Mus musculus: one gene and its partners. The protein of the gene in region 3 binds, or shares a complex with, the protein of the main gene of each other region. Links are inferred from orthologs where the notes say so. Each region holds a gene or a part of one and is shown on either strand. Other genes may lie near its edges. The genes, in order: Taf10, Tbp, Taf6, Taf7, Taf13, Taf3 and Taf8.

Region 1 (3,300 bases), on a different chromosome or scaffold from region 3:
ACTCCAGGGATGCTGTGTTCATTGTTCCATTCTTAGTTTCTTGCTCTTATCATTTTATTATCATCCCTTGACAGATCACTGACATCTATACCCACAGTGAGTGATACCTCAAATGTGAGATACCTCGTTACTTCATCTCCCTCCAGCCCAGACCTAAACTATTTCATCTCTTAATCTATGATATAATGCCTCTTTCAAACAAGCCAGAAACCTATAACTCTTAACTCTCATCTTTTTCACCTCCTTACTAACTTCAAAAAGTTTTCTTGACTGCCTCTCAAGTATATCTTTATCGGCTAGTGTGGTGATGCACACCTTTAATCCCAGCACTCAGGAGACAGAGGCCAGGCAAGTCTCTGAGTTTGAGGCCATCCTGGTCTATATAAAGAGTTCCAGACAAGCCAGGCCTACATAGTCAGACCATGTCTCAAAAATACACATATGTGCACACACACACATGCACAAAATACTGCATTATCTTTGAGCCCATGTTCTTTTTTCTTCTAAACTGCAGGAAGCACTTGGGGAGAGGAAAGGCTTCCGAAGCCCCTCATCTTCCAAACCAAGCAGTCTATGTATTTGTGCAAACCCTTCAAAGATTACTGGGTAAAAGTCAGAGACATTGAAACTTGCCTTCAAAATCGGGAAATAAACATTGCTAATGTCTCACACTTGGAATTAAGCAATGAATGTTAGTTTCCCTTTCTTCTTTGCACTGCACCTACATGTAGCTGGGAAACAATCATACAGTATTGAAATTGTCAGTTTGTTTGCCTTCCTTTTCCAGACAGTCGGTGCTAGTGAACTAGAATCTGATTCTTAACTTTGTATTCCTAGGTCCCAGCCCAAATAGAAATTAAATAAATGACTGTTTAAAAAAAAAGTCTGTTGTATTGTAAATGTGTTTCACACAAGACTTTGGCATGCTATTTCTTCAGGGTAAAACACCCATCTCTACATTTACAGAGGTACTCTCCTAAGCCCGTTGTGGGTGGGAGGGACACACATCAAATCCACTGCAACCCTTAAAAGACCATGAAAGGGAACTACAAAGAATGCATGAAGACCGTCAGGAGACTGGTAATGAAGTGTCTGGCAGATGAGTCCCCAAGCCAGGTCGTTGAACGAACCCAGATAAAGTATTCAGTCCTGGATGCTCTGCGGCCCCACCCGGGCCGGGGTGGAACCGCAGGGTGGCAGCCACATCTCACACAGCTCGCCTCCGCCTTGAAGTCTACACCTCATCCACTAACAGCCAACCTAAGGTCGCCCGCGGCAGCTTAGAGTGGTGGGCGGGAACTGTAACGTCACGCAGCGTGCGCCTGGGCGAGCGGAAGCGGAAGCGGCTCTGTTCGCCGCCTTTCCCACCGGCCCCATGAGCTGCAGCGGCTCCGGCGCGGACCCCGAGGCGGCGACCGCCTGTGCCGCCTCGGTCGCGGGTCCGGCACCCCTGGTGTCGGCTCCCGCTGCGCTGCCCACTAGCACGGCCGCGGAGAGCAAGGCCAGCCCCGCGGGGACAGCAGGGGGCCCCGTGGCTGGAGTCGCCACTGCGGGCACGGGCCCCGTGGCGGCACGGGCAGGGGAGCCGGCAGAGCGGCGCGGGCCAGGTGAGGGAGGGCCGGGCCGGGTGAGGGAGGAGGGCATCTCGGACTAGGTGCCGGGGCAGGGGAACCCTGCGCCTCTCACCTGTGCTGTTGATTCTCCTTCAGCTTCGGTGGCAGCGGGCGGCGCGGCTCCCCCGGAGGGGGCAATGTCTAACGGGGTTTACGCCCTACCGAGCGCGGCCAACGGAGAAGTGAAGCCCGTAGTGTCCAGCACACCTCTAGTGGACTTCTTGATGCAGTTGGAGGATTACACACCTACGGTGCGCTTCCCACCTGAACAAGGCCACCTGGCTCGCTGTCAATGCCTTTGAACCACACCTTCGTTCTTTCAAGCTTTCTCTGCTATGAAGCCATCTCTTTTGTTGTTTGTTTTTTCGCGACAGGGTTTCTCTGTGTAGCCCTGGCTGTCCTGGAACTCACTTTGTAGACCAGGCTGGCTTTGAACTCAGAAATCCGCCTGCCTCTGCCTCCCAGGTGCTGGGATTAAAGGCGTGTGCCACCACTGCCTGGCATGAAGCTATCTCTTTAGTCCTCCGTCCCAGCCAGCGCATCAATAGGCAGATCTAACACTGATGGCTGTTTAATTTGATTTTTCAGATCCCAGATGCAGTGACTGGTTACTACCTGAACCGCGCTGGCTTTGAAGCTTCAGACCCACGCATGTGAGTAAACTCGGAGCAGGTTAGACTGTTGAGTGCTAGGTGGAGTTTGCTAAATATTCTCATTACTACCACCCTCTTCCTCTCTAGAATTCGGCTCATCTCACTAGCTGCCCAGAAATTCATCTCAGATATTGCCAATGATGCCCTACAGCACTGCAAAATGAAGGGCACAGCCTCTGGCAGCTCCCGGAGCAAGAGCAAGGTGTGAGAGGCTCACCTTCCACTGCAGTACAGGCCTAACTTATCCTGAAAGCCTTTTGGGGAAGCAGAATCCTAGGGGAGGTATTGGGCCTGCTCAGGGTCACCCACAAAGGATTGGAGTCTGCACTTGTGCTCAGCTGGTGGTCTTCCCTCTTTCCCCCAGGATCGCAAGTACACCCTAACCATGGAGGACTTGACCCCTGCCCTCAGCGAGTATGGCATCAATGTGAAGAAGCCGCACTACTTCACCTGAGCCACGCAACCCAGATGTATTTGTCTTTCCCTCTGTCCCCACACGAGCCTGTTTTCATAATAAACTTTATTGTGACAGGCGGGGCTGATCCCTCCCATGTTGGGAGACATCATGTGGCAAGTGACAAAGCTCTGAGCCCAGCCCCTTTTGGGGCTACAGTGGTAGGGATGGGAGCAGGGAACAAGTCCCATAACTGGGGTAGTACCATGATTAGAGACAGGGGAGGCAACCAGAGGTCTTTAACTTTGGAGAAGTGTACTCCCCCAGCCATGTTTTGACACTTCTGGAGTTTGGGCAAGGACCTGAAGGTCCTACTTGTCCTGCATCTTCTCCAAGATAGGCACAATCATGTCAAACTTGGGTCGCTTTGCAGGGTCTTCATTCATGCAAATCTTCATGAGCTTACACACATGGGGGGAAATACCTGGTGGGATGGTAGGCCGAAGGCCTTCCAGTGCCACCTGCAAATTACAAGGAATAAGGTGAGCTTCAGAATTTGAGTTCATCATATGGGTAAAAGCCTTTGATCCTTGAATGGTAAGATTACTATTTATCTGTATAAACTGCTGGAAGCGCTTAC
Region 2 (4,235 bases), on a different chromosome or scaffold from region 3:
TAAGAAAACGTTTGGATTTACTCATGGCGGATAGAAAATTAAAAGTCTGACCATACCAAAAAAATTAACCCAATTACAGAGCAACGACAACTCGGATGTCACATTGGCGAAGTGGCACAGCGTTTGAGACGGGTTAGTAGTTCATGCTGCATTCAAGGCCAATCAGGACGCATGTCAACTGTGTGGTGTACGCAGCCACGAGACCCAGGAAGCAATACCAGATTTCTTTAGCCAGAATATGATGGTTAATATTGTTAATTTCACAGAACTTAGCATCATGTAGGTAAAACCCATGGATGCGTCTATGCGGGTGTTTCAAGGTTTAATTGAGGAGCGAAGACCCAACTAAAATATAAGCGGCGCCACCTCATTGCCTGGATTTCCCGACTAAATAAAGAAGAAGCGAACTAACATTTATCTATTTATGTTTCTGGTCTGTGGATGCAATCCAGTTGGCATGCTTCCCCCTGGGTTGTATCTCCTCAAACAGTAAGACAACATAAAACCCGCTTCCCTTATATTGCCTCTTGACAAGCCTTTGTTAAGTTTTCTCAATTCCCCAGTCTTCTGAGGTTTCCTGTACTTTCAAGAGAAAATGTTTCCTTTAGGGGAAAATAGATACACAGTACTATTGTACTTATTAGAGTCTGTGTAAATAGACAACCTATACAACACCTACACACATAACACACAGATACTGTCCATCACACACACAGACACACACACAGAGAGAAAGAGAGAGAGAGAGAGCGCTAACCTTAACCTAAAGGAGCTCATTACCTCGTTGATAATGCAAAATACAAGGGAAAGGAAGTACGCAGAACAACACATGTATATGCCTTAGATGAACTTCAGAAGGAAAAAAAAATTAAGATATGTTGGAATCAATCAAGCATTATGAAGCAGCCTAAGAAACAGCTGACGTTTTCTTGTGGCAGCAAGGAAGAGAGCTGGTAGTGACCGAGCTAAAAATAGAAATGAATCTGTGACTACAAAGTCGCTTGTTTTGTTGTTCTTCCTTGAACGTAAGTTAACATCTACTGAGAACATGATGAGGAGCGTTTGCTTGACATTTTCCTTAGCCACCTCACAAATCTCAAAGGGGAGGAGCCAGTAAGCTTGCCAAGCAATCTCTGGAGTTCGAAGCCAGCCAGTTCTACAGAGTGAGTCCCAAGAAAGTCGGGGCTACACAGAGAAACTCTTTCTCACAAAAACAAATCATGGAAGACTGAGGATGTAGTTCAGTGGTAGAACGCTTGCTTGGGCTTGATCGCCATTGCCACATCCCCAACTGTTTCCGCTACACACTCAATAGATCTCTCTTTGACAGCTAGAAAGGGCCGTCGGAGGCCCCGCCCCGGAACTGCTGGTACCCGGCCCGCTCGTTTCCTTCCCAGTGTCTCACAGCTTAAGCACAACAAATCGGACTGCAGTCAAGAGCGCAACTGGCGGAAGTGACGGCATCAGATGTGCGTCAGGCGTTCGGTGGATCGAGTCCGGTAGCGGTGGCGGGTATCTGCTGGCGGTTTGGCTAGGTTTCTGCGGTCGCGTCATTTTCTCCGCAGTGCCCAGGTAACGGTCCTTTCATCCTTTTCTCTGCTTGGAGGCCTTAATAAAGGCGACTTCTGCAGCGGGTCCCCGGAGTTTGCCGGAGGAGACGCGAGTGGGCGCGCGGCCGGGCTGGGAACGGTCCTCCGCGCGCGCTGCGGCGGCTCCGCGAGTAACCAGTCTCTGGACCATCGCCTCGGCGGGGTCCTGAAACCCAGTACCAAGGGTGAGCGTCTCCGAGGGGCTGGCACCGGACAGCCCCGCGCACCGCACGTCTCAGCCGCTTCCCCCGGTGGGAGAGTTTTACCCAGGCCTGCAGCCGCCCGTTTTGTCCCCAGTAAGAATAATTCTGTTAGGAAGCGGTTCTCGAGACTCAGCATCTCGCCAGAAGCCTGAGAGTCAAGCTAATCGAGATTAACATAAAAACGCATGCTGCTTTATTTACACACTGTCGGTCTTTAGCCTCAAGTTAAGGTGGTTTTCCAAAACTCCGGGTAGGCTTCTCTGGAAAAAGATGCCGGACCGGTTAGGCAGACGCTTGAAGACTGTGCGGAATCGGTTTCCCAAATACTCAGTTTGATGGCTCAGTTTCCAAAAGATGAAAACCCAGAAAACAGCCTAAAAATAAGTTTGTGCAGCGATTATTGCGATTTTAAGATTGCAGACGAGAAAAGGTGGTTTATATCGTCTGCAGGTGTGAAATGACTTCTGCGAAGCGTACAACAAATTCCCCAGTCTATATAATCAAGCGTTCAGTAAACTTCGTTTGCAGAAAGAGATCTGGATAAATAACTGGTTATACTTTGGACATGAAATCCAACTTTTTTTTTTTTCCTCAACCAAAGCAGTGATTGAAATTGAATTTTCAGTCTTCAATTTTCTCAGATTTATCTGCTCTTTGACACAGGAGATACTCAAACTGCACCTTAAAATCCTTAACTGTTTCCATTGCCTGTGTAATGACATCTTACATTCTGAATTATGCAACCCCACCTACAGCTGCTTTGTCATCTTTTGTAGTGACTTTACATACTGAGCCTGTCACACACTGCATGCTCTTCCAAGGCTTTGTCCCCCCCTTTCCCTTCTGTGATTTGTGCTGCACCTAGAGTGCTGATTTGTGTTGTTTTGTTCCTTTTGCTCCTTTTGCTAGACCTGTGTTACATTGCCCCTGCTTTGTGCGAGTTCCGGCCTCTCAGAAGGTACTTGACTTTAGTTATGTCTTTCTTAACTTTTTAAAAGATTTACATATGTGAATGTTTTGCTTATCTGTCTATATGTGCACCACATGCTTGTCCGGGCCCATGGAAGACAAAAGAGAGCATTGGACTCCCCAGGACTGGATTTACAGCTAGTTGTGAGTAGCCATGTGGGTGCTAAGATAATCAAACCCAGTCCCTCTGAAGAGCAACAGTGCTCTTAATCGCAGAACAGCTCTCTAGCCCCTTGACTTTAGTTTGTATTCTCTCTTCCATAGCATCCATTCATGAGCACAAATGCCAAGTCCTGTCCTAGGTTTCAGCTTTTCAACATTTTGCCTTGCTTAGTAAATGCCTGCAGTTTTTTTTTTTTTTTTTTTTTTTTAAGCATCTTTAAAAAATTGAGGGTGGGCCTTTGCCTACCATTTAGGAGGATCTGGGTTCTATCACTACTACCATTACAAAGGAAAAACAACACATTTCATAGTCTCTTAGTCTTTATTCATATTTCATGTCCATGACCTCGAAAGAGATGATGATTAAAGAAACCCAGTTCTAGGCATAGTTTTCATTAATATGCTCTGATGAGATAATGTTTCATCTTTTGTTTAGTCTGCCTTTAATTGAAACACAAACAACTACCTAAAGCATATTGTGTCCAGTTCAATATGTATGGCGCTTTATGCTTGAGGTATTGTGAATGGTATAAAACTGAGCAGCATATTTAAAATCAAGAAGTGACCTAATAGACTGTGCAAATCATGCCGATAAGTGTTCTCTTCTAACAGTATAGTTTGTTTAGGAATTCTTTCCCCCAACCTCAAGTCCTTTGCTGGGGGGTGGGGGGTGGGAAGTGAGGGTGGAGGTTGTACAAAGGGCTGGCCCCTGATGCTGTGAGAGATGGCTCAGAGGTTACGAGCACTGCCAACTCTTCTAGAGAACCAGGTTGGAGCCATCTCTCACACCCTAAATTTGATTTTTGTTTGTTTGTTTGTTTGTTTTGTTTTTTTGAGACAGGGTGTCTCTGTGTAGCCCTGGCCTTCCTGGAACTCACTCTGTAGATCAGGCTGGCCTTGAACTCAGAAATCCGCCTGACTCTGCCTCCCAAGTGCTGAGATTAAAGGCCACCACTGCCTGGCTACAATTTTATCTTAATCTAAATATTTATTGTCTAAATTCACAAAGAACACACAGGTTTCAAAGTTACAAGTTGTATATCCAAAGACCCATGTTTATTTTAAGGATACATATGACCCCATGGTAGCTCAATTCCAGGGCATCTGACCTTCTCTTCTGGCCTCGGAAGGCACCAAGGCATGAAAGTGATGTACAGGCATATATGTAGACAAAATACACATATAAAATGAATTACATTTATGTGAAGAATTGGCTGTGAGAGTTTGTTCTCTCCTTTCACCATTTGGATAAATGCACAATATTAGGATTAGCAGCAAACGCCTTTGCCTGATGCACCGTTTCTTGCCAGCC
Region 3 (4,164 bases):
GAGACCAGTCTGGTCTACAGGCAAGTTCCAGGACAGCCAGAGCTATAAAGAGAAACCCTGTCTCCACCCCCACCCCGACTCAGAAGAGTGGGGACACAGATGCAAAAATAAGTGAGAGATTAGAATCAAGTCATGGGTGTCAATGATAAAAACATGTTGTTGGGTGTAAAGTGAAGCAATAATGAATCCAAAGAAAAAGTTAGAGTTAGGGAGCCACAGGATATTTATTCAGTGACCTGGCTTCCTCCCTGTTGGGGATGGGAGGGGTGGTTGGGGGGAGGGCATTTACTAATGTAGCCAGAGGCCATGCTGCTTGTTGTAAAATCCCTACAGTGCACCCCATCTGCAAAGCCTCACACCGATGGGCAACTTCTAAGTGGTGTGGTGTCTTCATCTTCTCTTTATGAACTTCAGCTGGGGACTTACTCACCTTTAAAACCCCTAAAGGGGGCCATCAGGCCTGTAATTTAAGAGCGTCTCTGCCAGGGCGGGACTCAGTATGCCTATAAGGAATGAGTATTACACCCCACCCATGCAGATTGTCCAGATTTTTAACAAGGAGAGAAACGACTGAGGAAGATGCTCCATAGAGCCAGCGTTACAGGTTCTTGAACTACAATTCCCACAATACATTGGGGCCCAAGCCCGCAAGAAAAACCTAGATCCTTCTGGATGCCACCTGGGAAATGTAGTGCCACCTTAACCCTGCTTTCCCTCCCTTGTTCCCATTCAAGTGTTACCAAGCTCCAACAGAACCTCTTTCAAGACAGTCTAGTGATCCATCTATCCTAGCCCATTTGATTCAGCCTAGAGTTAGAGAGGCAGGAGGTAGATAGGGAGATGTAAATAGCAACTACTCCGTTTCTGTACCTTCGCATTTGCTGGGCAAACGTTCTGTGTCATCTTCCTCCTCTTTTGTCGCCTCAGCCCAAGCACCGTACGCTGCCAGGATGAAAAGCAGTATCTCCAGCCGCACAGGTCCCATGATAAAACGCAGTCCACACATACAACCACCCTTTGCCTTCAGACCAACTTCTGGAAGGCAGCGGGCCCTTTAAATTTAGGCGAAGCCCGCAGCAAGCTTTAAAAAAAAAAAAAAAAAAATCATAGAACGGTCAGCGCATGCTCAGAGCCAGCCCGAAAGTGGGTGGAGCGTGATGGCTCAGTTTTGTGGCGCCTTCTGAAGGTCCTGACAGCTGGGTAATGAAGATACAAATTGAAGTAATTAGAATAGAGTAATATGATCTTTACACATGCACGTAGAATGAAATTTTTATATAATTTCAGACTGTGAAACGATATGGTCTATTTTGACATAGGGAAGAACAGTGATAACTTTTTGGCTTCTGCCAGGACCTACTCCTGTCAGGGGGCGGGGCCAAGATGGCGCCGAGCGCCGGGTGAGCGGCGCTTTGGCAGCGGTGAGAGGCTTTTACTGCTCCCGGTGCTTGGCTGGCGGGGGAAAGTCTGAGGTGTATCCGTGAGGAGACCCTTTGAAAGGGCCCATGTGAGGACTGGGAAGAAGACGGTTGGTTGTGTGTCCGTGCTCGTGGGGACCCTGTGCGTGACTGCACTGGAAGGATGGTGGGGCGATGTAGTGGCTTGTGAACCTCCTGTAGCGCTGCCCGGGTAATCTTCGAATCACTTCCCTAGCTGAGAAAAATGATGTAAAGATATAGCTCAAGTTATCCCTTCTCTAAGAAGTCTTCCTGTCGCTTCCACTGATCTGAGAAACTCCCGAGGCTGCTAGAGTGTTTTATGAAACCTTAGTGGCAAGGGTACCACCACAGAGGACTGGGACCCGACCAGGTACAGAGTATGTGCTGAATAATTGTATTTCCTGTAGACAAGATTTAACAAAAGTCTGAGAAGACTTGGAATGAAAAGAACCAGTCCCTAGCACTCAGTTCTGAACACTCTTGAGGTTGGTTTCATGTCCAGTGTCAGGCAAGCTCCTTTCCTTTTAACCACAGAGTAAACTCCAAGCTTGAGTCTGTGTCTTTTTCATTTTGGTAATTGTTATACCAAGTATTTAGTGAACACTTACACCTTATTCATGCTGGGCAGTGGTGGCTCACGCCTTTAATCCCAGCACTTGGGAGGCAGAGGCGGGCGGATTTCTGAGTTCTAGACCAGCCTGGTCTACAAAGTTAGTTCCAGGACAGCCAGAGCTATACAGAGAAACCCTGTCTCGAAAAACCAAAAAAAGGAAAGAAAAAAAGAAAAAAAAAGACTTATTCATATATTTAACAATGCCCTAGGCACCAGATAGGTCAGTGAACATAACAGACATATTCTTGTTTACTGGTGGGGTAAGGATAATAAACAAGAAGAAATAATAGCCAGGCTTGGTGGTAAACAGCTGTAAAAGGCAGGAGGCTCTCCAAATCAAGACCACGGGATGAATTCCAGACGAGCCTGAGACCCAATTGTAGAAGGGTTGTTTAACATGTGGAAGGTCTTAGATTTAATCTAGAGTGATTTTATATATATACATATTATATCACTATTATTAAGAAGAAGAAGAAAACATAGCAAACAGGTAAAGCCAGGCATGGTGGTATGTGCTTGCAATCCCAGTACTTGGGAGGTAGAGGCCAAAGGACCAGTGTTGTCTACCTAGTGAATTTGAAGCCAGTGGGGCTATAGGAGACCTGCCCCTAAAGAGAGGTGGGTGGGGTCAGGTAGTCAGCCAAACACGTTTAGGAAGAACACAACAAAAGCTATAAAGCCAAGTACATGTCTGTCAGATTTAAAGGACAGCAAGGAGAATGATGTCAGGGTAAAGTGGGAGGGGGCGGGGCAGGTGATCAGAGATATGAGAGAAAAGAAAGAAACCATCTTAGACAGGAACTTATTGCAGAGTCGGGATGGCCTCAAACTTGCTGTCCCCACTTTAGCCTCCAGGGTACTGGGAATATGGGTGTACAGCATGTACACTCTGAAGCCTGACATGAAACCCAAGGCAGTCCACTGAAATTAGAAGTGTTAACCCCTACACCTGGACAGGAGGCAAGGGGAGTCGTTATAGGAAAGAAATAGTTACCTAGTTTATATTTTGACAGACCACTTTGGTTTTAAGAAACAAACGCACAAAAAAAGCCAAGATGGAAATAGGAACACCTTGTCCAGCGACTGAGTTCAGCAGATGAATAGGTGATAATCATCTGGGCCAAAAAGGGTCGGGTTGGGCTGCCTGGTAAGTTTTAAAGTTCTGCTGGGAATCAAACCCAGGCCCATGTGCATGCTAAGTACCTTACTACTGAACCACATCTTCCAGCCTGGTGGATTTGATTTAAGCGTCCATATAAGAATGACTTGTGCCGGATGTGGTGATGCACGCCTATAGTCCCAGCACTTGGAAAGTACCCGGAGTTCAGGGCCATTCTCAGCCACATATGGAGTAAGAGACTAGCCTAGGCTACAGAGGCCCTATTTAAAAAAAAAAAAAAAAAAAAAAGCCTGAGCCAGGCAGTGGTGGTACACGCCTTTAATCCTATCATCCAAGAGACAGAGGCAGCCAGATCACTGACTTTGAGGCCAGCCTGGTCTACAGAGCAAGTTCCAGGTCAGCTGGGGTTACACAGCCTTGGGGTGGAAGGACAGGGGACAAACTGGTCTGGAGATGTAGCTCAGTTGTTAGAGTATTTCCCAGACCACAAAACTGTAGAGGTACATGTCTGTAATCCTAGAACTAGGAAGGTAGAAGCAAAAGAATCCAGAGTCAAGGCTAGCTTTCATTACAGAGTTTAAGGTGTGGCTACAGAAATCCTGTACACAAAACTAAGAGCAAACAAACAAAATTGTCACTGGGCATGTTAATACATGCCTGTAATCCCAGTACTTGAAAGGCAGAAGCAGGAGGCTAGAATTAGAAGTGTCACGGCTGCATAGTGAGCCCCTGTGTCTAAAAGGAGAAAGGACAGGCCAAGCTGTTGTTTGGTAGCTTTGCTTTGAGGGTGAGCTGCAAGGAAGGAAGGAAGGAACTCAGATGTAGGGTTTGAATTATTTTTCCTTTTTATCTTACCCCACCCCACTATCAGGATCTCCATCTTTCCATCCTGGGGAGGCATCCTTCCAGGGACAGGAGCTGGAATTCCAGCATGGCCGAGGAGAAGAAACTGAAACTCAGCAATACTGTGTTGCCCTCTGAGTCCATGAAGG
Region 4 (4,172 bases), on a different chromosome or scaffold from region 3:
CCACAATCCAGAAATGGAGGGCACACCAATGATTCAGGTCTTGAGGCTGGAATCTACATGAAGATCTTGAGGCATAGTGGCCATAAAAAGCTTAGGTCCATGCAAGGTAGTATACACCTTTAATCCCAGGAGACTGAGGCAAGCAGATCTCTTATTTCAAAGCCAGATTTGGACAAATCAGGTTCCAGATCCATGAGTGGTGGTCCACACCTTTAATCTGGGCAGAACACTCTGCTGCAGGACATTGGAAGAAGGAAGACTCACTCTTTGCCTGCTTGCACTTATTTGCCAGCACATCTGCTGCTACCTACGTCTTCAGGATACAGAAGACCAGGTGAAACAAAGTAGCCTCTTGGGACTTCCCATTTAGAGCTGCCCATTGTTGGGTGGCTGGACTACAGACTGCAAATCATTACAATAAATTCCCTTAATATATAGGCATTCCACAAGTTCTGTGACCCTAGAGAACCCTAACTAATACAGACAGTATCAATGAGCAAAATAAATAATAAAGACCTAATTTATCAAACTTCATAGTTCTGGGAAAGTCTCTAAATGTACCAGCCTTGCTTTTTGGCTTCTGTAGGTCAGTCTCTAGCTTATGGTTCTTGTAATAAAAGTATGCCAATGCAGGACATTTGTTTGTGCTTAAAAGCTCACCATGACAAAGTCTCAGGGCCAACTGGGATCCAGAACACCCAGTGTAGTCACTGGCTAGTTAATATTTGTTGGCTTAAACCTGTGTCTGAACAGCGTTCTTTGGTGGACATTCCACAACAAAATCAGACCGTTTGTGTTTCAGACAATTCTGTTCTAAATGAACCTGCGTCATCATAAAAACATTTGTTTACAGTTATAGCTATCTGACATATTACCAAAATATCGTATCATACATATCACACCTGGTCCTCTGGATCCAAAAACACAAATGAAGCCAAAGGCTTAGTTCCTTTCAAGGCAATAAGCATGATTTTTCGCGTTAGAGAGTGAACAGCAATACTGTATCATTTCACTGTTTGGGCCACTTTTACTTTGTGTTGTTTCCAATGTTTTAGCGGAGGCCGACTGGGTACGCCCTGGGAAGTAAAGATGCTTTCTGCAGGGACGACCTTTATCTCTGGTAATCACTCTAGAAACTGTCCCGACCCGCGACTTCGTAAAGTGCTGTCTTACGGGGTAAGTTTATGTTTTACTTTTTTGGAATCTCCATCTTGCATTTCCAAAGCAAAGCTTTTCTGGAAACAGCCTATACAGGGCAAGTTCTCACGAGAAGACGTAGTCACGGAACGACGTAATTACGAAGTGCGCCTGCGCGCGCCGCTAGTACTTCCGGAAGAGCGGCGGCCAGCCCCTCCGTGTCTGCTTCCGGTCTGTGACGTAGCGCCGCGTCTGCTTCCGCTCTGACGGAGCACTTTCGTTTTCTTCAGTGAGAGGAGACGTGGGAAAGTTGTCTCCGGTGTTCGGTTCTCTGAGAGGGAGCTTTCGCGCCGCGGGTCCTTAGCCGTCTCATTGTTAGCGCATAGGTCGCCCTGCCGGGCGGCCGAGAACGCCAAGAAACCGGAAGGCGGACGCACCGCTCCCTGCTGCTTTGCTCAAGCCGCGAAAAGCTAAGTTCACAGTCGCTGGTGAACTGTAAGTACCGGAGTCGAAGAGTTCGTTCACTCCCTTTACTTATTCTTTTTCTTTAATACTTTTATTTTATATCTTATTGGAGAGAATCTGTGGATCGGGGTTGTCTGCCAGACTAGACTGACGGTCTGTGCCTAAAACCCCTCAGTCGCTGCCGTTTCTTTTGCTGTTCAGGTTATCAGCAGCGTCTTTTAGAGGCTCTAATATGATACTGCATCTAGCAGACGAGTGAGTTTAACAGGGACAGTGCCAAAGTTTAAAAGTTTAAAGACTAGACTTGGGACTTAATTAAAAAATTAAGACAAAATAGGCACTAGCTTGCGTTCCACTTTTGTTGCTGTTTTCCTTGGAACTTGGTAATTACGAATTTAAAATTCTACTTAATGACATTGCCCCCCCCCTTTAATTGTTGTAGGAGCTCACAAGGAATTAAAGATGAGTAAGAACAAAGACGATGCGCCTCATGAGCTAGAGAGCCAGTTTATCTTACGACTGCCCCCAGAATATGCCGCTACGGTGAGGAGGGCAGTGCAGTCTGGGCATGTCAACCTGAAAGACAAACTGAGCATTGAGTTACACCCTGATGGGCGTCACGGCATTGTCAGAGTGGATCGAGTGCCCTTGGCTGCAAAATTGGTCGATTTGCCTTGTGTTACGGAAAGCTTGAAAACCATCGATAAGAAAACCTTTTACAAGACAGCTGATATCTCTCAGATGCTTGTAGCCACAGTAGATGGTGACCTATACCCTCCTGTGGAGGAGGCAGCTGCCACTGCTGATCCCAAAGCAAACAAGAAAAAAGATAAGGACAAAGAGAAAAAGTTTGTTTGGAACCATGGAATTACTCTACCTCTAAAAAATGTCAGAAAGAGACGGTTCCGGAAGACAGCAAAGAAGAAGTACATTGAATCTCCGGATGTGGAAAAAGAAGTCAAGCGTCTGCTGAGTACAGATGCAGAAGCTGTCAGTACTCGTTGGGAGATAATTGCTGAAGATGAAACAAAGGAGACAGAAAATCAAGGCCTGGACATCTCTTCTCCAGGAATGTCTGGCCACAGGCAAGGCCATGACTCACTAGAGCATGATGAGCTTCGAGAGATATTCAATGACCTCAGCAGCAGCAGTGAAGATGAAGAAGACGTAAACATCCTTGACACTGAGGAAGATCTGGAGAGACAGCTACAAGACAAGCTAAATGAATCCGACGAGCAACACCAAGAAAATGAAGGAACCAATCAGTTGGTTATGGGAATTCAGAAGCAGATAGATAACATGAAAGGCAAGCTCCAAGAAACCCAAGACAGGGCAAAGCGCCAGGAAGATCTCATTATGAAGGTAGAAAACCTGGCTCTCAAGAACAGGTTTCAGGCAGTTCTGGATGAGCTCAAACAAAAAGAAGACCGCGAAAAGGAGCAGCTTAGCTCTTTGCAGGAAGAGCTGGAATCACTTCTGGAGAAGTGAGCTTGTTGACTTTAGTCCTTAGACTAGTCAGCTCAAGAAAAAATTATTTTCAGAGTAAGGTCTTGAAATACTTTTTTTTTCTTTGAAATGTTCTTATTCCCTGAGTTTTGTTGAAAATTTTTTGATTGTTTTTCAGAACTATGGTGGTGGGTTTTCATTCTTAAGAAAATAGGATTACATAGACAGGTTTGTTGTAGGGAAGATATAAGAAAGATGAGTGAAATGAAAACACTTGAACTTTTAATCACAGGACTTTATTACAATTTGTTTCCTAAAAGTTTCTAGTCCTTTTTTTTTTTTTTTTTGGTGCTAAGATCAGTAATAAGCTAGCCTACAGGCAGTGAAGTTAATTTCTTTTAAAAGAAATATATTTTTTTTTACCTCAGCAAGTTTCCATGTTACAGAAATGCAAGTTTTTCATAAAGGTTGTTTCTTATACAATAAAAGCTACTAATTTTCACTGTTTATGATGTTGTTCTATGAATACTGAAAGTTGAGGTGGTTCATGGAGTTTAATGACTGAATGGTGTAGATCAAGATAAATCCTGTTCTTTTGTTTTTAGGAAAAGGAAAGCACCAGGTAAGGAAATGGAGAAATTCATTGTTGCATTATATATTAAGGTTCAGGTCCACCCACTTCATCTGGAGGTTTATGAACACTGGGTCTAGAGCCTTCTTAAACTATCCTAGTTTTTATGGATGGATATCTGTATCTTTTTCTTAAGCACTAAGGTTATCTGTAAAATATTGGAAGCAGTTATCAGATAAACTATTCCACATGCTTAGATTAAGATTATATTTTAACTATTGCCAATTTAACTGCTACAATTATTTAATAGACTGATGTTTATTCATATTGTTTCATTAGTATTTCCCAGTATGAAAACCTGTGTCCTGGTCTGGGATTTTAAAATTTCATATACAGAGAAAAATTCTGTGTGTTTTTTTAAATACTAAAAAGCTGCCCCTAGGCAAACTAAGTATGAATTCAGAATGGAAGTCATCTGGCCCCTTTCATTGAGAACTTGCCTTCTGTATTGCTGTTGACGGCTGCCAGAGCCTCTGAAGCCCTAACTAGTCTG
Region 5 (4,208 bases), on a different chromosome or scaffold from region 3:
ACCCTGTCCAAAACAAAAAACAAAAACAAAACAAACAAACAAAAAAAACCCCAGCAAAAATAGAAGAGACATGAAGATTCTATTAAGTCAGTGGGAGAAGCCTGCGAAGATTCCAAATTTTTGTCATCACAAAAGTAGAGCAGTTGAAACTGAACTAAAGGTTTGGACAAGCAGCAGGGTGAATACCATTCCTAGAGCACTTTAGTGTAAGGGTCGTTTTCATATGTCCACATAAGGAGTAAAACCACACACAAATCACGTAACTAGCATCAGTGAGACAGAATGGGAAGTGGTCAGACTTGAACGAAACTGGAAGGTACTAGTGAGGATTTCTGTTATGGTTGTAAGATACAGCCGAAGTTGCCTTCAAACTCAATGAGGAAGACCCTGAACTCAAATTCTCCCATCCCTATCTCTCCCAAGAGCTGGGATCAAAAAAGATTTAGAGAGTTAAAGGCTGATCTTGCAGTTTCTAGAATTTTTCAATCCTACTGTACTCAGGCATTTATAAATCTCTGCCGCTGTACTTCCCAAGGCTCAGCCAAGGAGCCTGGGAGAAGGGATGGAGAGTGCAGTCTCATGGGCCTTTCAGGAATTAGTATGGGCACAACAAGTGGACACCGCTCACCCTGCGCTGCCCCAAGGGCTACCTGTCTGTTTAAGGAGCACCATGGAAGGCTAGTGCACTGTCATCTCCACAGCACACTTCACCACCTTCTTGCCCTGAGCTATGCCTTAGTCCAAAGCCTCAACTTACATCATTTGAAAGGTGGACACAAGAGGGATACAACGTTCAAAATGTCAACTGGGAGCCATGGCATATGCCTGTACATCTAGAGCCAGGGAAACAGATAGGAGAGCAGAAGTTCAAGGTTCTTGCAAGGTTCTTGCAAGTTCAAGGTTATACGCATATGCATACCAAGTTTGAAATCATGCTGGGATCTAAAAACCCTGCCTCAGCTGGGTGGTGGTGGTTCACAGCTTTAATCCCAGCACCCAGGAGGCAGAGGCAGGCAGGCACATCTCTGTGAGTTCAAGACTAGCAGATCTTGATCTATTCTAAACTCCAGAAAGAGTTCTAGGACAGCCAGGGCTACACAGAAAAACCAAGCCTCAAAAAAGGAAAAGAAAAACAAAAACAAACAAAACAAAAAAACCCTGCCTCAAGGAGGAGGGCAGAGGTGATCACATTCATTATTTTATGTCACACAGAGAGAATTAGTAGACATGAGAGAGACTTATACTGACCATGGGATGCACACCTGCAATCCCAGGACTTGAGAGGCTAAAGCAGGACTACCACCAAACCAAGGCTAGCATGGGCTAAACAGTAAGCACCAGTATAGCCTTGGCTATACAGAGCCTATCTTTAAAACAAACAAACAAACAAACAAACACCAAGAATAAAAACAGGCAACCTTATAGGCAACTCTGAGAACACTGTCCCTATAAACAAACATATGCAGAACAATATACTCTGAAAAGACATGTTCAAAAGCTTTCACCACCTGTAATAAAAACACTAGAAAGTACAACTTACATTCTTTCGAGAAAAGTCTCTTTCTCTTCCCCTGGCCACCTTCCGCTCCTCCTCCAATTTCTTCATTCTCCTCCTCAAACTAGAAATTTTAAAACACGGACATGGCAAATGATTGCAGTGCACGTGATATTCCCTCGAGTCTCCTCCTGCTCGCCCTCTTTGTGGAGTGCTGTGAATTGAACCCACGAGCTCACGATGCTAAACAGATGCTTGACCACTGAGCTACACCTCCTGCACTCTTTTCATCTTTTTTTTTAAAGGCATTTATTATTTATGTGTATTGTGTGCCTACATAAATGTGCCTGCTGTTGCCCATAGAGGCCAAACTAGGTCTAATCGCTGTAGGTTGCCAGATGTGACAGCAAATGCTCCTAAGCACTAAAGCTATCTCTCTACACTTTTTTTTTTTTTTTTTTTGAGACAAAGTGGTCTCACTATGTGCCCGTGTCTGCCTGAACTCACGGAGATCCGCTTGCCTCTGCTCCTGAGTGCTGGGATTAAAGGTGTGCGCCACCACGCCCAGTGACCCTTTTTCATTTTCGAAAGTGAGAAGCTAAAGCAAACTGCACAAAACCACGAAAATTTAGCACCAAAGGGCTCATAAGCCCTAGTCCAATTCTCAAGTCGTGCAAGAAGGCTTTTATTACGGCTGCTAACAACCTTACAACCGTGCGTGTGTAAAGTTCTAACGACCTCAGGTTCTGGGTTTGGTTTTAGCCAATTTAGTTGTCACACTGCTAAGCAAGACTACTGTAAAAACCTGGTAGTTTAAAATCTACTCTCTGCTGTCATCGGAAGCAACTGATAAAGGGCTAAGAACTTTCCTTAACTGGGCTGGACTCTACCTCACAAGAAAACCGATGCCAAAGGAGAATTTGGATCCCAAGCTTCCTGTCTTTAGTTCATCGTTTCTCCGCTATCTTCACTAGTTTTGTCAGCATCTGGGCTGCTGGTTCCGCTTTAATCAGCTTTGATCTCCTATGACCCTCTAGATGTCTTAGTGTCGGGAAGATCCAGGTCAAAGAGAGACCCTTTCTACTCTTCCTTCCCGTCTTGTCCCACGCACTGACTAAGGTAAACCAAAAAAGGAAAACACCGCGGAGCCCCCGGACTCTCGGCGGGAATCCCTAAGGCACAAGCGGGTCAGACTCTGCCTCCGCTAGTGATCCGAAAGGAGTGAGGAACCAGGCTGAGACAGGCGCTCACTCACGGTGGGGTCTTCCTCCTCATCTGCCATGCTAGCTGCTCGCCAGCCTTCTGAACCCGCCCACCGGCGGCTGGCGAGTTTTATAAGATACGTACGTCACTTCCGGCCTGGCCAGCGTTGCGCAGAGAGGCGTGCGCGTTCATTCTCCTACCCAACCCCGGCCTTGGGATTGGCTGGAAGTCAGTGACGTGCTCTTACGTGTGGAATCCTGAAGGAGGAATTAAAAATTACAAAGAAGCCAGGCGTGGTATACTACGCCGGGAAATCTCTGCACTTGGCAGGCAGAGGCAAGAGGGCTTCGAGTTCGAGATCAGCTCAAGTTTCATGAGCCCATGTCTCAGAAAACATAAGTGATAAATTTGTGCATACTTACGGAGGCTCACAAATGCCTGTAAAAATAGGATGACTTTTTGCCTCTGGGGCTGATCCACTCAAGTACACAAGCCCCATGATATTATATATAGTATCTATATTATTATATAATTATATATCTACTTTCTTTTATGTAAATAGGTGTTTTGCCGGCAAGTATGTGTACCATGTGTGTGCAGCACCAAAGAAGCCAAAATAGAGCAACCGATTTCCTGGAACTAGAGATAGACGATTGTGAACCGCTATATAGGGGCTAGGAATCAAACTCAAGTCTCTTGAAAAGCAGCCAATACTCTTAACCACGGAGCAATCTTTCCTGCCTCCGTTAATACGCAATATATATATGTAGTTTGGGTTGGAAGGTTGTTTTGCGCTTTTTTTTTTTTTTTTTTTTGGTTTTTTCAAGACAGGGTATCTCTGTGTAGCCCTGGCTATCCTGGAACTCACTCTGTAGATCAGGCCGGCCTCGTTCTCAGAAATCCGCTTGCCTCTGCCTCCCAAGTGGTGGGACTAAAGGCGTGCGCCACCACTGCCCGGCCGTTTTTTGCTTCTTCTTCTTTTTTTTTTTTTTAAATTACAAAAGATGTGCTAGAGAAATGGTTCAGTCAATAAAAGCTCTAGCGGAATAAGCCTAAGGCTCAGGTTCAATCCCTGGGACCTGTATAAAAAGTGAAAGGTGAGAAGACAGAGTCTGCAAGGTTGTCCTCTGGCTTCCATACACAATAATAAGAAAATATTTTAAAATTATGAAAGAGCTAAGTGTAGTGGCACTCGCCTTTAATCCCTGCCTTGGGAGGCAGAAGCCAGAAGATCTCTTTGAGTTAGAGGCCAGCCAGGGCTACATAGTCAAAACAAGAAAACCAAAGCTCGGCAGTGGTGGTCCATGCTTTTTGTCCCAGCACTTGGGAGGCAGAGGCAGGCGGATTTCTGAGTTCAAGGCCAGCCTGGTCTACAGAGTGAGTTCTAGGACAGCCAAGGCTACACAGAGAAACCCTGTCTCGAAAAACCAAACCAAACAAACAAATAAACAAAAAGCAGAGACATTAAATATATCAGAAAGATGGCAACACAGAAAAGGTGGAAATAGGG
Region 6 (4,207 bases), on a different chromosome or scaffold from region 3:
AGTGTGCCCAGTCATTTGGGGTTTAGTTGATTCCAGATGTACTAAAGTTGACAACTGAGACTAGCCATCACAGCTGCCTAGAAACAATTTATTGGAGAGGGCACATAAACTTATATACTGAATAGTCAATGGTAGATATGGCAGGCACAACTAAGAAATGGAGTAGTTAAATATAGCCGAAGTAGGTTTGGTTTAACTCAGTAGTCACTGGGATTGGTTTGGCTTTAATTTGAAACTTTTTTTCCTGTTCTGTAACTAGCTCTGTAGACCAGGCTGGCCTTGAACTCAGGTATCTGCCTCCCTCTGCCTGCCCAGCACTGGGATTATTAATCAGGGTCTACCAGCAGTTGCCCAAAGTGCCAGTTACTGTGGAGGCTCACTTCAGTCCCAAAAGTCTAAGGGCAGATGTTGCAACATAACAAGATTGAGACTCACGGGGGGGGGGGGGCGGGCGGGGGCGGACGACGGGATGGACGGACGGGACAACCCACTATTTCAACCAAACCTATTTATCATCTCATCACAGTTTCTGTTACCGTCAGGCAAAATGCAACTAGGGCTGGAAGAAGCCCTGGGAAAGGCAAGCAAGCATTCTCTGGACAAAACCAGTCTCAAGGATTTACAGAGTATTCGACCTCTGTAGGGAACTGCATTCTCCACGTCTTGGATAGACTACGTATTGTGACTAGTAAGACGCAAACTAGAACTAGCTATAAACTGCACTAAAATAATATCTTGCTCACTACTGGGGAAGAGGGGGGCAGTTCCCACTAATTGAACACGTAGGCATTTTTCCTTAAAACCAGCCATATTATGAAGAGCATTGAACGACACAATGAACAACATGAGTTTATTAGCTCTGATTGTTTTTTTTAGAGCCGGAGTCTTTTTCGGTTTTTCGGTGACTCTAGTTGGCCTCTAGCTTATGATTGCCTCAGCCTCCTGAGTGAACATCTTGGATTTCACTCAAACCTCCCAAGTGGCCACTATTTCATTCTGAATACTATCTTTCATCTTTTAATTTCGTTTTTACTTTTTTAGATTTAAGTAAAGGAAAACAATCGAATCCGCGTTCTGCGGAGTAGCTTATATTCCCAATTCTCTAGTTTCACACTTGAATCTCTATCAACATTATCGATGTTAAGTCCTTAACATTCCACTGCCTCCCTGGTTTGCCCCTGAACACACCGAGGGTCACCTCTTACTTTTCCATCAGCGGGGAGAGAAAGACACCGGCACCTGTTGTCAGGGAGGCGCAGACTCCACCTGCGCCCAGTCACTCGGCTTCCGGCCGGCGTCCAGGCTCTAGAGTCGATCCCGAGACGATCGCTCTCCTCCCACTGGGCGGAGCCTGGGCCGCCTATCTCTCGGCCTTCTGCTCGTACTGCCTCGCCCCGGCGGCCGTCCAGCGGGAGGCGGAGCGAGTCCAAAATGGCGGCTCTCAGGCTGGCGCGCTCCGTGCTGCTGAGGCTTTGAGGTGGTCGCTCCGGGTCGGAGGGGGGACGATTTCCCCGCCGCGGGGCCCCCAGAGAATGAATCGGGGGCTCTGCTGAGGCGAGGCGGCAGGGCTGGAGAGCAGTGGCAGCGAAGGGCTGCGGTGGCGTCCACGCAGCGGGATGTGCGAGAGTTACTCTAGGTCGTTGTTGAGGGTCTCGGTGGCGCAGATCTGCCAGGCGCTGGGCTGGGACTCGGTGCAGCTCAGCGCCTGCCACCTCCTCACCGACGTCCTGCAGCGCTATCTGCAGCAGCTGGGCCGGGGCTGCCATCGGTACTCTGAACTCTGTGAGTACTGGGGCTGGGTTGCGGGAGGGCTGCCCCAAGCCGGTCACGAGTGACACCTTTGCCCCTCCGGACCCCTTTGGGCATCCCCTGCAGGGGTGGCGTTCCGAAGCCGGCTTCGACATGGGGATCCTCTCAGACTCCGACCGTCTGGGGGGCTTCCACCGTCTCCTGCGAACTCCAGTCATCCCTTAGGTGCCTCTTCCTCATCCGCTAACTTCCCGCCACCGGCAGGGAAGCGGGGTCCCGGCTCGCAGCCACACACCCTCTCACCGATGCTGCTCCTGGACCAGTGCTTCGGTCTCTCTCATTGTCTCGGGTCGGCTGCGGCCAGAGCCACCCCCAGAATGCTCTCCACCTCGCTCACCTTGGTCTTTTGCCTCCCTTGCTCGCAAACTACTACAACTAGTTGTCACAGGCGCTCCGTCTACCGGCCGTTTCTTACAAGGCTGGCCATTCCTGAGCTCCCAAATAGACTCGTTGACAGCTCCGCTCAGTCAGGGTCGCTGCCTTTTTTTTTTTTTTTTCTCCCCTCTCTATCTGTTCGTTTCACAGACTTCGCCTACTACTTTTCAAGGCAGGTTTTGTCGATTTCGCTGAATACCTTTCAATAAGCATCTCAGTTACGCACGGCGTCCTTCCTCTATGCTCTTCTGTTAGTGTTGATCTAAGTGTGATGGGAAGCATCACTCGGTAATTTGGGAGGTTTTCCGGGTACTCAGTGTCGCAGTATGTATTAACTTTTTTTTTTCTGGTTCATGTCTCTTTAATGAGATTAAAGGCTCCTGTGTATGTTTTGGGAGTGAGTAAAGATAGCACAGTCCTCCGTGTTGCCCCTCTTCAGGGCTCCAGCCCTTTCAGGTGTGTTCTAGGAGAGTGGGGACGGTCCCACATGGAGGACTGCAGTTGAAACTAGGGCTGAATCCTGGTGGCCAAGTAATACCCAGTTTCCCTCTTGAAACTACTTATGGGATGTCCCCACAACTAGAAGCCAGCCCCACGGGAGGAACTTGAGACATAGAATCTGGGGACAGTGTATTGACTTTTAAGTGAATGCCCAGTAGTGTCTTTACCCGGTGGTATTTAATGATTTGTAGAAGGTACAGATCATTTTATAGATGTGTGATTTTTACTGATGTATGAGTGTGTGTGTGTGTGGGGGGGGGCGGGGATTATAACGTTCATTTAAATTCCAAGATATGACGTTTAAGGTGGCAAGTTGGATAACTAAATGAAGTGTTTTATAGAGTAATTTGTTCTGCTACAGTGGTTCCTACTTTTAAAGTGAGGGCCTATAGATTCGCCATACCTTCAAGACTCCAAATGCCATTCCTAACAAAATAATGAAACCCCAACAAATCAGATCCTATTTATCTTATTTTGTAATTGTTTGTGTATATGTGTACCCTGACCCAGAAGATAAATTGATTATATTCATATTCTGCGTAAGTACCTAATGTGCTGATTGGAGCACCCTTGATTGTATTTGTATTACTCTAGTACCTACTGTGCTAACTGATTGGAGCATCCTGATTTGTGTCACCCTAGGGTTGTTCCAAATAGGAAACAGTTGGCTAGTAAATTAATGGGTAGTCCACAAAAGACTTAGTGAATGAATTCCTAAAATGCACATCTTTTTGAGTGCTTGATTTAACGTGTGTGGTGGTAGAATGATCGTCTAGCTGTTGCTTCCTTACCTTCAAGCCCCTTCTCCATTGACCTTCAGTATATTGTTACTATTATGTTTAAGATAGATTATATTTTGTTACCTAGTTCCTGAACTAAAGGCAGATGTATACCTTTTGGGTTCTGAAAATATCCCCTGAATACATAGTTACCTTCCATGCCAGGTAGTTCATGGATTCAAGCATTCCAAAGTGTCCAAGAACTCATTGTGCTTTACTGAGAACCTCTTCATTCCCCTCTCTCTCCTCTCTTCCCTCCTCCCCCCGCCCCCCATTTTATTTTATGTTTATGTTTGAGACATGGTCTCTCTTCATAGCCCTGGTTATCCTAGAGCTCAGTATGTAGACCAGACGCCTGCCTCTGCCTCATGAGTGCTGGGATTAAAGGTGTGGGCCATCACATTTATCATGAACCCTTTCCCCTCCATTCCCTGGCCTTTTCTTTTGTTTTTTTGAGACAGAGTTTTGGGGTTTTTTTTGTTTGTTTGTTTGTTTGGTTGGTTGGTTTTTGTTTTTTGTTTTTTTTGGTGGTGGTTTTTTCATATCCCAGGCTGTCCTGTAACTCTCTCTGTAGACCAGGCTGTCCTTGAATTCACAGAGATCTGCTTGTCTCTGCCTCCTGAATGCTGGGATTAAAGATACGTGCTGCCACTGTCCAGTATGAAACTTTTTATAATTACCCATCTTTTTCTAGTCAGTTTTCTTCTCTTCCTTTTCGCTCTTTTTTTTAATGAGAATATGAT
Region 7 (3,500 bases), on a different chromosome or scaffold from region 3:
GCAATCTGTCTAATCCTCTGGCTCCTTGTCCTCTAGCTCGTTCTGTCTTCACCTGTGTCTAGCTTGTTCTCTGTATAACTGTCCCACGAAAACGACCTCCCTTCCTCTTTCTCTGCACTACCCCTGAAGTAGCTTCCCTTTCCTCTCTCTCCTCATGAGGGTTGGGCAGATCCTATTTTGTCAAACCTTTCTCTGATTCATCACTTTGTCTGCCACTCAATTAGAACATGGGTGCTTCCTTCTACAAACTAACTTTATCTTCATTGTTTGGGATTAAAGGTGTGTGCTAGGGCTAAGCCACACCACAACTAGAAACAGGTTTTTCTAGTAAACACCACAATCTCAAGGTTCACAGTATGAACAAATATCCTGCAACAGAATCTGTGCTGCTGTGTGTGAATGCACACAAGTGCCTGTTTGAGCCCTGCCTTTGGTCACTTGGGCATATAAATAAATAAATAAGTGTATATATATATATATATATATATATATATATATATATATATGTACATACACACACACATACACACACACACACACATATATATATATATATATATATATATATATATATATATATATAGCATAACTGGTGGCCCACCTGGTAATCTTATTTTGAACTTTGGAGAAACTCTGGCCTTTGATCCTTGTAGACATCTCAGAAATCGGGAGAAGTGCTAAGTCATACTGTGAGCACACAGCCAGGACCCAGCCCACACTGTCGGACATCGTGGTCACATTGGTTGAAATGGGTAAGTGTATCTCCGTTGTAGGATCACCAGAGAACGGGGAAGCCTGGGGGGGTTTCCATGTCTGCTGAGTCTTAATTCCATCCTATTTCCCCTGATCTGCTTTTAGTTAGAAAGGTATGAGGAAGGAGTCCTTGGACCCTGTCTCAGAGACCTCCCAAGTCCCTGTGGGAGTTCTCTTGAGAGGCAGAAGAGTGGCTAAGCTGGGATTTAAGTCCCCATTCCACACTGATAGCTCCCCTTTCCTGTTCAGTATCACGCCAGGATCAGAACATGGCAATGACTAGTTTTCTTGTCCCTAGGCTTCAATGTTGACACTCTACCTGCCTATGCAAAACGGTCTCAGAGGATGGTCATCACTGCACGTAAGTGGCTTTGAACTCTGATACTTAGTACGTACTCAGTGATTGTAGTGTGCCTTGGAGGGAGGAGAGGGCAGGCACCAGAGAGGCAGCTGTTTTCCTGCTGTGGGCTCCCTCCCTCCCAGTCCTTGGAGTGGTGAGCTGCTCACAGACTGGCTGTGTCCATGCAGTGGGATTAAACTGTGAAGGTCAGTCTCCAGGCAGCTGCACCATGTCTGAGCTGCTGCTGTTACATTTTAGCCCCGAAGAGCAAATGACCATACAAAAAACTGTGACAGTTCTTGCTTCTCTAGATGAGGGTTTGCAAGGGCTGGGGTCTGTGGACAAAGTGTGCTTGCTTTTGTTAGTAACAGTTTCTTGGCATACAGCTTATTTACTCACCGTATGTGATTGCTTTCACGTGGCAAAGGCAGAGGTTTTCGGTTTGCTTAATCTGAACTGTTGCTATTTCGTGGATGCGCCTGTAATCCTAGTACTTGTGAGGAGGTGGGGGTGCTCTAGAATTCTAGTGTACTGTAGATAGGGAGGGCTACGCTAGCCTGAGCTACACAGGTGGACTTGGGCTCAAAAAAGAAGCAAACAAAAATCTAAAATACTTATCATGTATCCTTTTATATAAAAAGATTTATTTAGTCTGCTTTAGATAAAAGTGGGTCCCTGCCGGGCGTGGTAGTGCACGCCTTTAATCCCAGCACTTGGGAGGCAGAAGCAGGCGAATTTCTGAGTTTGAGGCCAGCCTGGTCTACAGAGTGAGTTCCAGGACAGCCAGGACTACAGAGAAACCCTGTCTCAAAAAAAAAAAACAAAAAAAAGGGGCTGGTGAGATGGCTCAGTGGGTAAAAGCACCCGACTGCTCTTCCGAAGGTCAGGAGTTCAAATCCCAGCAACCACATGGTGGCTCTCACAGCCATCCGTAACGAGATCTGACTCCCTCTTCTGGAGTGTCTGAGGACAGCTACAGTGTACTTACATATAATAAATAAATAAATAAATCTTAAACCCCCCCCCCCCAAAAAAGTGGGTCCCTTATGCTAAGTAGGGAGTAACTGCTTTAGTGTTAGGACTTGAGGGGGAAACTTGTTTATGTTTGGTTTGGTACAGGTACAGGATTTCTTTCTGTAGCCTTCGCTGTCCTGGAACTCACTCTGTAGACCAGGCTGGCCTCGAACTGAGGGATCTGCTCGCCACTGTGTCCTGAGTGCTGGGGATAGAGGCGTGCAGCACAACCTCCTGGCTGTACTCGTATCTGTACGTGTGTGCATGCTCATGCCGCGGCATGTGGGTGGAGGTGAGGACAACGTTGAGGACAACGTTGTGGAGTTGCCTGTCTCCCTCCACCATGTGCCTCTTAGAGAGTGGCTTGGTGACAAGCCCGTTTCCCCACTGAGCCATCCCCACAGCCGCAGAGAGAAGCAGCTTGTCACAGATTGAAATATCAAGCAGGGTTGGAGACATTAACTAGTTGCGATCTGTTGCAGCTCCAGTGACCAATCAGCCAGTGACCCCCAAGGCCCTCACTGCAGGGCAGAACCGGCCCCACCCGCCACACATCCCCAGCCATTTTCCTGAGTTTCCGGATCCCCACACCTACATCAAAACTCCGGTGAGTTTGGGAGCTGCCCAGGGCCTGTGCGTGTGTGAAACATGACTGATGGAGGTTGCAGGGGAGAGTAACCTTCAGCTCCCTGAGGACTTTCCTACGGGGATGCCATCTTGATATGCAATTACCCCTTTCATCATAGCCCTTGGAAGGCTGAGGCTGAAGAGTTGCTGTGCATTTGAGGCCAGCCTGAAGTACAGAGTGAGATGTTGTCTCACAAAGAGAGACAGAAGGGGAGGAAGCACAGAGTAAAGCAACCTGGCCAGGAAGAGTTAGGGTTTATTTGAGAGGTTTTATGTGTGTGAGGGTTTCATCTGTGTGTGTGTCGTTGGATCACCTAGAATTGGATGTGGGTGCTGGGAATTGAGCCCAGGTCCTCTGAAAGAATGGCCAGTGCCATTTTAAAGTTATTTATTTTATGTTGGTGAGTACACTGTAGCTTCTTTTTTTTTTTTTTTTTAAGATTTGTTTTTTAAAGATTTATTTATTTATTTATTTATTATATGTAATTATATGTCCTCAGACACTCCAGAAGAGGGAGTCAGATCTCCTTACGGATGGTTGTGAGCCACTATGTGGTTGCTGGGATTTGAACTCAGGACCTTCAGAAGATCAGCTGGGGCTCTTACACACTGAGCCATCTCACCAGCCCAAAAGATTTATTTATTACATTATTTATTATATATTATTTATTTATTATTATTATATGCAAGTACACTGTAGCTGTCTTCAGACACACCAGAAGAGGGTGTCAGATCTCATTACGAATGGTTGTGAGCCACCATGTTG

What was found.
Region 1: Taf6 (region 3) and Taf10 share a complex: the UniProt entries of both Homo sapiens proteins name them as parts of the TFIID basal transcription factor complex. The link is inferred for Mus musculus from reciprocal best matches to the Homo sapiens genes TAF6 and TAF10.
Region 2: Taf6 (region 3) and Tbp share a complex: the UniProt entries of both Homo sapiens proteins name them as parts of the TFIID basal transcription factor complex. The link is inferred for Mus musculus from reciprocal best matches to the Homo sapiens genes TAF6 and TBP.
Region 4: Taf6 (region 3) and Taf7 share a complex: the UniProt entries of both Homo sapiens proteins name them as parts of the TFIID basal transcription factor complex. The link is inferred for Mus musculus from reciprocal best matches to the Homo sapiens genes TAF6 and TAF7.
Region 5: Taf6 (region 3) and Taf13 share a complex: the UniProt entries of both Homo sapiens proteins name them as parts of the TFIID basal transcription factor complex. The link is inferred for Mus musculus from reciprocal best matches to the Homo sapiens genes TAF6 and TAF13.
Region 6: Taf6 (region 3) and Taf3 share a complex: the UniProt entries of both Homo sapiens proteins name them as parts of the TFIID basal transcription factor complex. The link is inferred for Mus musculus from reciprocal best matches to the Homo sapiens genes TAF6 and TAF3.
Region 7: Taf6 (region 3) and Taf8 share a complex: the UniProt entries of both Homo sapiens proteins name them as parts of the TFIID basal transcription factor complex. The link is inferred for Mus musculus from reciprocal best matches to the Homo sapiens genes TAF6 and TAF8.

Annotation. Positions count from the first base shown.
Region 1 is NC_000073.6:105,742,394-105,745,693, reverse strand, and holds Taf10 (transcription initiation factor TFIID subunit 10), read left to right. Parts: upstream 1-1,355; 5' UTR 1,356-1,375; coding exon 1,376-1,607; intron 1,608-1,709; coding exon 1,710-1,864; intron 1,865-2,201; coding exon 2,202-2,266; intron 2,267-2,353; coding exon 2,354-2,468; intron 2,469-2,630; coding exon 2,631-2,720; 3' UTR 2,721-2,800; downstream 2,801-3,300. Other genes in the region: Ilk (integrin-linked protein kinase), read right to left, coding at 3,032-3,181. UniProt on the Homo sapiens protein: The TFIID basal transcription factor complex plays a major role in the initiation of RNA polymerase II (Pol II)-dependent transcription.
Region 2 is NC_000083.6:15,498,453-15,502,687, forward strand, and holds the start of Tbp (TATA-box-binding protein), read left to right. Parts: upstream 1-1,435; 5' UTR 1,436-1,572; intron 1,573-4,235. UniProt on the Homo sapiens protein: The TFIID basal transcription factor complex plays a major role in the initiation of RNA polymerase II (Pol II)-dependent transcription.
Region 3 is NC_000071.6:138,184,427-138,188,590, reverse strand, and holds the start of Taf6 (transcription initiation factor TFIID subunit 6), read left to right. Parts: upstream 1-1,364; 5' UTR 1,365-1,421; exon of another isoform or gene 1,422-1,629; intron 1,630-4,043; 5' UTR 4,044-4,103; coding exon 4,104-4,164. Other genes in the region: Cnpy4 (protein canopy homolog 4 precursor), read right to left, coding at 871-1,006. UniProt on the Homo sapiens protein: The TFIID basal transcription factor complex plays a major role in the initiation of RNA polymerase II (Pol II)-dependent transcription.
Region 4 is NC_000084.6:37,641,405-37,645,576, reverse strand, and holds the start of Taf7 (transcription initiation factor TFIID subunit 7), read left to right. Parts: upstream 1-1,372; 5' UTR 1,373-1,632; intron 1,633-2,044; 5' UTR 2,045-2,064; coding exon 2,065-3,090; 3' UTR 3,091-4,172. UniProt on the Homo sapiens protein: The TFIID basal transcription factor complex plays a major role in the initiation of RNA polymerase II (Pol II)-dependent transcription.
Region 5 is NC_000069.6:108,570,291-108,574,498, reverse strand, and holds the start of Taf13 (transcription initiation factor TFIID subunit 13), read right to left. Parts: upstream 2,801-4,208; 5' UTR 2,778-2,800; coding exon 2,751-2,777; intron 1,620-2,750; coding exon 1,541-1,619; intron 1-1,540. UniProt on the Homo sapiens protein: The TFIID basal transcription factor complex plays a major role in the initiation of RNA polymerase II (Pol II)-dependent transcription.
Region 6 is NC_000068.7:10,045,810-10,050,016, reverse strand, and holds the start of Taf3 (transcription initiation factor TFIID subunit 3), read left to right. Parts: upstream 1-1,407; 5' UTR 1,408-1,616; coding exon 1,617-1,782; intron 1,783-4,207. UniProt on the Homo sapiens protein: The TFIID basal transcription factor complex plays a major role in the initiation of RNA polymerase II (Pol II)-dependent transcription.
Region 7 is NC_000083.6:47,495,792-47,499,291, reverse strand, and holds part of Taf8 (transcription initiation factor TFIID subunit 8), read left to right. Parts: intron 1-653; coding exon 654-752; intron 753-1,051; coding exon 1,052-1,114; intron 1,115-2,589; coding exon 2,590-2,714; intron 2,715-3,500. UniProt on the Homo sapiens protein: The TFIID basal transcription factor complex plays a major role in the initiation of RNA polymerase II (Pol II)-dependent transcription.